Alligator mississippiensis: one gene and its partners. The protein of the gene in region 1 binds, or shares a complex with, the protein of each later gene. Links are inferred from orthologs where the notes say so. Each region holds a gene or a part of one and is shown on either strand. Other genes may lie near its edges. The genes, in order: MED18, MED31 and MED21.

Region 1 (3,121 bases):
TGGCTAGAGAACAAGCCTTTGTGGTGACTTTGTCATGCTCCAGCCAGGGGTCTGTGTAGATGTATATACCCCACAGTGATGTTTTGTATTATTACAAACTTTGTAGCGCTACAAAAGTAACAGGTCAGAAGCCTTAGGCACATTAGATTTAATGCCTAGGTTTTTAATGAAAAAATAGCCCTTGTGGTGGAGTGTGTGCATTTGAGAGTTTTCATTGCTAAAATTAAATATTTTATACTAAATACAAATCCCATGGAGCTGTAGGATAGGGTTTGATTTATAAATACTGAAAGAGAAAATGGGAAACCAATTGCAATCAAAATAAACCACTCTTGCAGTACTCTTATAATAAATCATCTCATCTTAGTTTTATAAATTGCTCTAATACTATAAATACCCAACCCCCATCCATTGTATTCACTCCAACACGTGCAACAGTTGGGCATTGCGATGCTTGACTTTCATGAAGCAATCAGACTGTGAGGTGTTTGACTGTATTCCTAACTGCAGATTTTAAAGTATTATGAAGTACACTTGCGGCTAAAAATCCTGATTTTTGTTTTGTTTTTTCTTTTTCTCTCTCTCCACCCCCAAAGAGCTTTTCCAAAACCCCAGATGTCAGGATGGAATCTTTTTTTTTTTAATAGCTTGAGAACATTGTTTTAAAACCTGGAACCTGAATATTACAGCATTCAAGAGCAACAAAAGTACAACTGTTGAAAAGGCATGCAAACATACGCTACTGGGGAAGCAGTATTACATAAGTTAAATGTCTTCAAACTTGGCATTGTATGCTCCCTGTTCTAGTATTAGTGTGTGTGCGTGTACACATACGCACTCTGGAGGGGCAGGAATGCTAATACAAACTTATGTTAAATGCCTTTCCTCATACTGCTTAGAATTTCATTTGAAAGAATTGCTTTTAAGCTGTTTTCAAACATCTTTTATTCACAGCTACCCTATAACAACAAATTACCCCAAACTGTCAATTATCAGAGTGACAAAACTAAATACCAAATAATTCCTGGCCCCTAGCTTTAATCTTGCAAGAGGTATTTTGTAAGAACAGTTTAAGGAGGCAGGTCATTATGACCCTGAACCAAAGTGGTCTGCAACACCCATGACTGCTTTTTATTCACATTAACCTTTTAGGGTCAATTTTCTCCAAGTGCACTAATGGTTTCAGCTGCTCAGCAAAGTTCCTCATATCATCAGAAACCATGTCCTGACCTGCTGGTGCCACTACACTCAGCTCTACAAGGTATGAGAGAGACAAGGGCTCTATACTTTCAGTGTTTCCTGGCATCAGGATGCGAAAGATCTTGTATACCACAATCTTCATGATGCCCTTGCGGAATACGTGGCCCTTGGCAACGAATTCATGGTCCATACGGAAGCCCATCTCCACCAGGAAGTCGGTCAGGTTCTCCGAGGTGGCAATATCTACGCAGTTACGGACCAGAGCATGGCGGTTTTTGTCTCCTATTTCTGGCTGGCCCAGGTAGCGCAAGTGCCAGGGCATGCCTGTTTTGTCCATCGAGCGCCGTGCCCTCAGCACAAAGGGGCTGGCTTGCTGCCCCTTGAGGAGAAACACCATCTCGTGATCGAGGAACGTCTCCGGTTCCATGTTGTCGCACAGGCCCCGCAGCCGATGGAGGAGACTCTCTAGGCTTTGATCCAGAACGCTCCCTGGAGAAGACAGACCGGAAACGTCACTGCTCACCAGTTCACGAACACCCATGCCCTTTCCTCTCCTCTATTGGCACAAGATTGCCCAGAAACCCCTCCTCCACCCCGGCTTCACAAGGGAGCAGTCTGTTGCCTTGAGGTTTAAAACACCAGGCTCTTTTTTCCTGAAAGCAGCAGGGAACTTAATTACTTGAAGAAATAAAGGTGCACAGTGTCAGCGCTGGCCCTGCCAGCTTTTGTTAGTCTGGCCGTCCAAGGCCGCCTGTCCCGTCCCCCGCCGGTTACATACATCGCGCAATTAATGGCTCAACTACGCAATACATGTAGCCTGCCCGTCTCTCTGAGCCCAGGCCCTGCCCACCTCGTGCACTGCCTGAGCACTGTGCCAACCCGCAGCCGGTTTCTTCCCAGCTGGAAGGCGGGGGCTCGGGCCGCCCCAGGCAGCGCGGGCCGGGGCTGGGCTCACCTTGGAGCAGGTACTCCATCATGTTGATGGTGCCGCCCGTGACGGGCATCATGGTGACCGGCGGCGCCTCCATGCTGCCCGGCCACCTAGCTCGGCTGTGGGGGGGCAGAGGTAGTCGCTCGACAGCTCGGGCAGGGCGCATGCGCACACTCGGCCGAGGATGGGGGTGGGAGGGTTCCAAGCGCGTCCAAACCTGGTGCGCATGCGCCGCCGTCTCCGCGCCAATGGGAGGCGGCGGGGGCGGAGTCCGGGGGTGGGGTTCTCCGGCCGGGGGCGGGGCCTGTCCTGCGCCGCCCGCGAGCCCTAGGGAAGCTGCCAGCTGGGAGGCGGGCGCCTGGTGACTCGCGCGCTCCTGGGGGCGGGGCCATGTCACCTCGCCGTTATTCAGCATCCGGAGGCCAACCGCCGCGGGCCCTCGGCCCTGCCCCCACGGCCGCTGCTGCCCAATCCGGGTACGCGCGGTTCGCGCCCTTCAGCCAGTAACCCCCGCCCTGTCTGCCCCGCCAGCGCAGGGTCCTGACATTTCTTCCTACCTCATCCGCTTAAGCTCGTGCCCTGGGCACGCCGCTGTTTTGTGAACCCCGCCAAGGGCCCTGGCAGCCGGCAAAGCTGCAGCGCCCGCCTCGCGCTGCCCGCCCCCACCTCCGTGCCCTGCAAAATCGTCGATTTCACCAGAAAAAGTGTCTGAGAGAGAGAAATAACCCGGGAGCAACCAGAGTTAAATGTCTCCCGAGAGAGTTTCTCTTGGGACACCAAACTTCCCTACACTTCTCCTGAGCAACGCCTCTGTAGTTCAACTCCTGATTTACAAATGTTTTCATGCTGAGGAAGAGCACCGCGCCCCCCAACGCCTGTCCAGCTTCCTCTCAACCAAGCAGGTGGTCCAATAAAAGAGGCTGCCCTGGGAAATCCTTGCCTCTTCACTTCACCTTTTCAGTCAGACGGATTTGCAATTGGGGCCCTTCT
Region 2 (3,751 bases), on another chromosome or scaffold:
ACTAGGTTAAATAATTCAGCCCCCTTTTTTTGTATTGCTCCCCTTCCCTCTATTATGCATTCCAAGAATAGGAAATACAGTTAACAACAGTAAAAGCCCTGTTATCCAGCACAAGTGGGGAATGGGGAGGTGCTGGGTATCTAAAAATTCTGGTTACCTGAGGCCAACAGTTTTTGGCCAGGGGGGTGGGGTAAGGGTGGCAGCAGCACAGGGTGGACATTTTGGCCAGACGCAATGCAGGGAGGAGGTGGTGGTGGCAGCACAGGGTGGATGTTTCGACCAAACACAAAGTGCTGGCAGCACTGGGTGGTGGCAGTAGCAGTGGCGGCCACCACGTGCGAGCTTCCCTCCCCACCCCAGCACCGTGTCTGGCTGGCTGGCCGAAATTCCGGTTAACAGAGTATTCTGGTTAGTAAAATGATGGATAACAGGACTTCTACTGTAATATTAATTTTTCACATACCCACAGTTGAAATTTCAACTACTTACAGTTGAGGTAATTTGGGTTTGCCAGACACTGGACAAATTCTAACTCTAGCTGGAAGCGAAGTCGATTTCCAGTATCATCTGAAACAGAGGAAGTAGATCAGAAAAAGGAAGCTCAATCTACAAAGACCATAACTAGGAAAAAGCTATTAAGGATCTGATGTCAGATTATGTTGCTCAACTATCTGAGACAGTAAGAAACAAGCAATGTATTCCCCAAAAAGATTCAGATTCGTTTTGAAAAATGGCTCTTGCCAGTTTTTAAAAGTTGTGTCAAAAGAATCGTGTGTGGCCTTGAAATTGAAAGGGAAAAATGACTACTGACTGACCACAATGCAGAACCAGGGGCTAATGAAAGCTGCATTTAGTTTTCCCTTTGAATGTTAGCAATTTTTTACCTCTTACCTGCATGACATGAAAACCTCACTCTCTAATTTTGCACCAAGACTTTAACAAGAGCTTGAGACATGGGTTACTCTGGAAAGAGACCAGTTTTGATTTAAAGCAGTGATTCTCATCTCAAGGGGGGATGACTCTTTGAAGGGTGACAATGAGATGTGAGGAGATGAGTAGATAAACTCAGACTAAAGACTCAGCCACTCCCCCACCCCCAATGCCATGTCCCTCTGCAGGGAGATAAGACCTGAAATAAATTAGTTTTTGAAGTGGGGTGCAGTGCAATTCACAGAAGTTATGAAAGGGTACCTTGAGTCTAGAAAGGTTGAAAATCACCGATTTAAAGACCTCAGCCAATAGGGAACCTTTATGTTAACTATAGCAACAATTAATTAATAAAGGGTACACTTTACTACGAGTTTAATTTACCTAGCTTTGCCTGACAAAACACTAGGTCTCTTTCTGCCGGACTGACACAGACCACCATCAAATTAGCTCTTAACCTTCTCCAAGATAAGCTAAACAAATTGAGTAGGGCTGCACTGATAAAGATTTTTTTGGCTGATACCAACGGCTGATTATTAACCAGCCATATCGGCCGATACCAACCTGATACTGTCAGGAAGTCGGGGAGGGGGGTCAGGGGGGCAGATTAAGGTCTCCACAGTGAGGGAAGGAGTGGGGCAGGGGCAGGGGCTGACCAGCCAGGACAGTGAATGCAACCTTGGGAGTGGGGTGGAGCCACAGACGCCTCATCGGGGGGGGGGGGGGGGGATGTGGCCCCCTGGATTTGTGTGCACGGTGAGGGCAGGCTCTGGAGGCCAGGGGCTGCACCAGCCTCTTCGGAGGGGCACTGCACTTGGGGTGGGTGGGGGTGGGGTGAGAAGCAGCAATACAGGGAGGGGTGGGCTACAGCCACCCCAAAATCCACATAGCCACCCCCTCCCCAGCACTGCTGATGCCCACCCCGCAGCCCCATCTTGAGTCAGAAAACCAAGGGTAGCCTTGAACATCACAGACTAACCAAAGCATCTATACACACAGAGCAAAGCAGACACAGCACTGGCTTTTGGAAGCTGAGGCTCATTTCACAGCACCTGGCACGTGTGTGTGTCTATCTGTATGTGTGTATCGATCTGTACATGGGGGGGGTCTGTATATAGTAGGGGTATCTGTATGTAGGGGAGGGGGGGTGTATCTATCTGTATGTAGGGGGGTGTGGGGCTGGAAGTCGGGGGGTGTATCTGTGTGTGTGTGTGTGTGTGTACGAAGCATACACCTATATTTGGGGATGCGCACGCCTGCGTGTAGCTATAAATAGGGGTGCACGGGCCGTGTGCATCCATATAGGGATGCACGCCTGTGCGCACACTCACACACCGCCCCCCCAGCACAAGCCGTTGCAGGCCGAGGCCCCCCCGGGCGGGCCGGCCGCCCTGGATCCACTTCTGCCCGCGAGGGCCAAACCCCGCCCGCCCGCTCCCCGGGACCCTCCAGGGCTCCCGCCACAGCAGCGTAAAAGCAAGGCCGGGACCCCGCTCCCGCAGCCAGGTAGGGCCGTGCAGCAGCAGCAGCCACCGGCGGCATCGGAATAGGGGTTGTGGTTGTGGTTGTGGTTGGGGCGGGAGCGACAGAGCCCGACCCTCACCTGTCTCCATGACGACCCCAGCGGATCGGGCCCCGCGGATACAAGATGGCGGCGCCCCGCCCCACCCGGAAGTCGCTCGCCGGCCCGCCCGCGATGCATGGCGGGAGCCGCCGCGCCGGCGCAGACGTGGCCTCGCACGGTTTCCCGGGTAACAGGGCCCCGCTCCGCCCCTAGGAGCGCGCCGCGGGGCTCGCCCGGCCCGTGACGTCACTCGCGCTCTGTTATGACGTCCCTCTTATCCCTAGCTGAATCCTTCCCAATGGCAGCGATGAGGGGGTTACTAGTGTGTTTCACCGCGGTGGGAGCGGCGCGTGCTTTGCAAGCCAACGCGGTTTTTAAAACTTCCAAAACAACCATCCTTTGTAAAAACTGTTTGTCGTTGTTGAAGGGTTTCCCGTCCCGAGAGAAACCCGTGGTATGCGGGAGGCAATGTCCTTTCCCCCTTATAGCGTCCTTTCCCCCTTACCCCAGGGAAAGATCAAGCGTGAGGCCACGAAATGAGTCAGACGCGCCGCAGTAAAGCAGACGGCAGAAAGCTGGACTTTGGGGTTGCGATCCGGGGGGTGAGAAACACGCCGGCAGCACAGTTTCAGCGATCAAAGTTCAGCTTTATTTCAACAGCCTCTCTGTGCACACCGTGGACTTGACTTGCATGCTTTCCAATGGGCTTGCCAAACATTTGAGACATTTTCTGTCAAAAAAACCCCAAAAAAACAACCCCATAGCCAGGCAAAACATTTGTTTCACCGTTACAACTTACAGGGGCAGATTTTGATATTATATATTTTCTGAAGAAACATAACAAATACCGTGTGATCACGTCTATCCCTCGTGACCGATGAGAAGGGTTAAGGTTCTGCCCCGTGTTTACTCGTATCAAAACGTACCAGGTGACCCAGTATCTGCTGAATAAACCAAGAGATTTTAGTTAGCTTTTTCTTTCCAGCTGTTTAAAGCTGCAAGGACGATGGCAGAAACATTTCTGCAAAAGGTGGGTCGTGTAAGCGATCCCAAAGAAATGAGGAGCTTAGCCACCGAGTGGGTCCATGAATCATTTCCAGAAGTCGAAACCGTTTCCACAGAGACGTTACAAAGTTGGATAGAAAACAACCCAGAGGAATTGCTCATTCTGGTAAGTGATCCATTGCATTGCCTAAAAGCAACTTGTCTGCAATTAAAAACAACATGCATTGGTGTCCTGGTCACTCTTCTTCATTTTAA
Region 3 (3,751 bases), on another chromosome or scaffold:
AAGTCTGCCCACCCTGTTTCAAGTTCACCTACACAATGTCATCTTTTCAGTATATTGCCTGAGATTTACAGGTTCTCTTTTGAAGAGCTGAAGTTCATTTTAAACAATATGCAAGATCACATCTTTTACATTAGTTACTCTTTTGAGATGTGATTTAATGCGATTAAGAAGCATTTTTGCAGTGTTTCAGTATTTTGGCTTTCAACTTTCTTACCTGCAAAGCTGCTGTTGATTCTTCACTAGGTAACGAATCTATCAAAACATCTATATCCTTAGCAGTACGAGCAATCAATGCTGCAAAGAGCTGGGCATATTCTATTAAAAATAAATAAGAATTACTCTAATATACTATTTTTAGCTCTTTTCTTCGGAGGACCTGTAATAAGCTGGGGGCACATTTAAAGAACTTAAATCCATTTCAGACAAGCTGTATTTACTTCTAAAAATCAAGGAAATGTCAAGCCTTAAGAACTTCCCCATACAAGGCAGCAATAGCATGGTACATTAGGACAACTGAATCACATTGAGCACAGATAAAAGGCTAAAAATTCAGACTATTCACAAATAAAGGGCTAAAACATCAGATTAAATATAGTTGTATACAAATAGTGCTCCCATAACTATATGAAGTTGCAGCAAGAACACGAGTAGGGTTTGCCATTTCGTTAACTGTTAGTTAACAAATGTTCAGGTGTGCAACAACCTCTGTGCAGTATAAATGCTGCATAAATATGGTGAAAAATTTAAAGAAACAACTAGATTAAAAGGTTTACTGCTACTGTGTTAGAATTTTAGCACGCTGAACTTAAATGCCTTTAAAAACTTTGCTATCCATATGTTTAAAAGAATTTGCAGCTTAGAACCCAGATACCTTTGCTAGTGATAAGACTTTTAAATTTTGGTAAAGTATACAACTCCTCTATTAGTTTTAAAAATTGACTTTTATAATATTATAAATCCAGTTAACAAGTAAAACAAGACTACAGTTAAAAGGTTGTTAAGGAGATCTGTAGGTTTTTCCTGTTTACTTTGTGCATCTGACATATTTTAAGTCACAACCACTGTTTCCAAAAAACAAACAAACAAACAAACAAAAAACAATCACCAAACAATATGGAAGAGAATAAAAACAAGCCCCACACAAAAAAAAAAATGGTGACTAAGAACATACAACTAATACTCTGGTTAAAGATTTAATACACTTTAAAAACCTAATATATTAACACATTTTCCATGTCTAATCAAGTGTCATTTTGACAATGTTTGTTTCAATAGCCCTGTTCACATGCTTTTGTACCTTAAATACAAAAATGAGTACTCTGCAAACAGTACTTAAAAACCTTCTTGCTTTCAAGGACATTAATATTAAGAAGAGGCTAGTCTGGCATTTTCTAGTGTGTTTTGCACAACCTTTTCTAACTAGTGGCCAGATTAGTACATGCTATAGTAGAATGTGCTTTGGCCAGAGTTTAAGGCAGAGGTGTCAAATGCATCCACCCCTGCAGCCAGCTGAGTGTCTATGAGTTACTCTGTGGACTGGACTGAACTAGGACCAACCCCCTCCCCCTGCCCACCCTTCCCGTGGAGTAGCGGCAGTGCTGGGTCCAGCTCATGCACCACATGCAGCATATGCTAGCCCCTGGAACTGGCACGGGGTGGCCCCAGCACTGCAAGCAGGACAGGAAGTCAGTTCAGGGTGCTGCCTGCAGCCCATGCCCCAGATTCCTTGTGCTGCCAGCAGCTCTGGGTCCAACCCATGCACTGTAAGATCAAAGGGGCCATTTGCACATGAGCATAGGGACCAGCATATGCTGCATGCAGGGCTGTGCATGGTTCAGTTGCCCTGAACTGCAGCACAGCACCATTGTGCACTGTGCTAGCCCCACTTGGGATCCCCAAGGTCAAGCCTAACCTGATTTCAAACATAAAGCAAAAGGAGATTAATTTGAGAAGTATTTTTGGTTGTGCACCTAGATCAGAAGAGATCCCACTTAAGAAACACATGGAACAAAATTAGGGCTGACCTGATTGTTTAAACACTAAATATTTTAAACTGCCTCTTCCCTGAAACATAACTCTTGCTTTGTCCTGCCATTACATATTTTAGAGCAGAGAACAGGATGGTTCCCAGATACCATCACACTGGTATTCCAGATAGTATGACCATCAGGATGGTAACTCTGCAATGGCTTAGTGAGGAATAACCCTACCGAGGCTAGGGGCTGGACATGACAACCTCAGGGTCCCTTCAGCTGCCTTTCCTACAATTCTACCAACTCCAGACAATGTTACTTACATTTGCGCTCTTGCAGAGACCCAGAACAGATCTCATCCAGCCCCTACCTTCACTGACCCCTGTGTGTACCAGCGAGCTGCCCCGCCAGTCAGAAAAGCTGCACAAGATGTTTTTTACCTTCCGTAGGATTGGCTGGCTGGTCCTTGTTGAGGGTGGTCTGGATGTTGCTGAACGAGGCAGGTGGACCGCATTGCTGCAGCACCCCAATAGCATTGCAGAACTGGTCAGCAAGCTGCAAGGCGCACAGCATGCAATGCTTAGCCACGGGGCCCAGTGGGCAAAGTCAAAGCCGCTACCCTCCTCACAACCCCAACCTCTTCCCAACCCCCACCCGAACCTCCCCTCCACCAGACTCTCACCCCGGGACCCCCTCTCGTCCCCCTAAGAGAAGATCCCCCCCGATCCACGCCCACTGGTGGGGGAGGGGGGAGCGGGACCAGGAGCCACCCGGGCTTCGGCCGCCCGGCACAGCGTGGCGCAACTCCTCACCGAATTCACCGCGTCTTGCAACTGCGTGAGCCGGTCCGCCATACTCTCACCCTAGCATCCTGCCCACCCATTGGTCAGCGCCTAAACGCGACGGCGCAGCCAATCGCAGCTCCCAATCTTAGGTGGTCAGGGAGGGAATGGGAGGGGGCTGGGAGTAGAAGTGGCACGGGTGGAGTTGTACATACTTCCTTTTCGGGTCTGTGGTTCGGGTTCCGCTAGGAGGGTGTCTTGGCTGCTGGGGGCGCTTGCTCCTTGCTGGCGGGAGGGTACTTGCGAGGTCTCTTAGCCACCGAGGGGCTCGGGCGCTGCAGGGCCTGTGCCTGGGCCGGCTCCTATTGAACTCGAGAGGAAAACACCTCGGAGGAGCGGGATCCTTTGGGGCTGGACGGACGGGCCTGAGTTCCCTACCTTAAGGAGCCCTCTGCTATGCAGATAAGTAAACAAGCGGGGCTGAGAGATGTACTCTCCCCGGGGCTTGCGTTTTTTCCAAAACCCGCCCCAAATCATAAGAATGAAGTTGTTTGCTTATTCCAAATTCCTTATTCCCGGTGTGAGGTTCCTTTTTCAAAGCTAATCTAGACCCAATAAAAGCTTGTTATTAATGAATTGCACATCCTAAAGAGGGATAATTTCATTAGCTATGCACATGTACTATTTCATATGTAAAATAATATCGCACCTCAAGTACAGAGCCCTAAATGAAGGTCAGATTAGGATAGGATCATGGGGCAAAATACTTCTTGGGCCACCACAAACTTCCTGTTGATGCCATTGGGGGACTGTCCCAAGAACCCTGACCACAGCACGGTTTGGCCGTGCCAGGCTGCCAACTGACAGCCCCCATGCCCGCTATACTAAGTATAAATCTTGAATAAGGAACTGGTTTTTGGGCTGGGATTATAGCTAGAAAATCTGCTTGGGCCACCCATCAGAATACCTCTGCACGACTGGGGGACTCTATCGGAC

What was found.
Region 2: MED18 (region 1) and MED31 share a complex: the UniProt entries of both Homo sapiens proteins name them as parts of the mediator complex. The link is inferred for Alligator mississippiensis from reciprocal best matches to the Homo sapiens genes MED18 and MED31.
Region 3: MED18 (region 1) and MED21 share a complex: the UniProt entries of both Homo sapiens proteins name them as parts of the mediator complex. The link is inferred for Alligator mississippiensis from reciprocal best matches to the Homo sapiens genes MED18 and MED21.

Annotation. Positions count from the first base shown.
Region 1 is NC_081826.1:254,266,003-254,269,123, reverse strand, and holds MED18 (mediator of RNA polymerase II transcription subunit 18), read right to left. Parts: upstream 2,308-3,121; 5' UTR 2,298-2,307; coding exon 2,156-2,297; intron 1,690-2,155; coding exon 1,136-1,689; 3' UTR 619-1,135; downstream 1-618. UniProt on the Homo sapiens protein: Component of the Mediator complex, a coactivator involved in the regulated transcription of nearly all RNA polymerase II-dependent genes.
Region 2 is NC_081837.1:9,414,650-9,418,400, forward strand, and holds the start of MED31 (mediator of RNA polymerase II transcription subunit 31), read right to left. Parts: upstream 2,631-3,751; 5' UTR 2,541-2,630; coding exon 2,531-2,540; intron 2,434-2,530; exon of another isoform or gene 2,351-2,433; intron 568-2,350; coding exon 490-567; intron 1-489. Other genes in the region: uncharacterized protein LOC132244834, read left to right, coding at 2,790-2,945, 3,477-3,662. UniProt on the Homo sapiens protein: Component of the Mediator complex, a coactivator involved in the regulated transcription of nearly all RNA polymerase II-dependent genes.
Region 3 is NC_081827.1:129,467,868-129,471,618, reverse strand, and holds the start of MED21 (mediator of RNA polymerase II transcription subunit 21), read right to left. Parts: upstream 2,883-3,751; 5' UTR 2,828-2,882; coding exon 2,786-2,827; intron 2,529-2,785; coding exon 2,414-2,528; intron 316-2,413; coding exon 215-315; intron 1-214. UniProt on the Homo sapiens protein: Component of the Mediator complex, a coactivator involved in the regulated transcription of nearly all RNA polymerase II-dependent genes.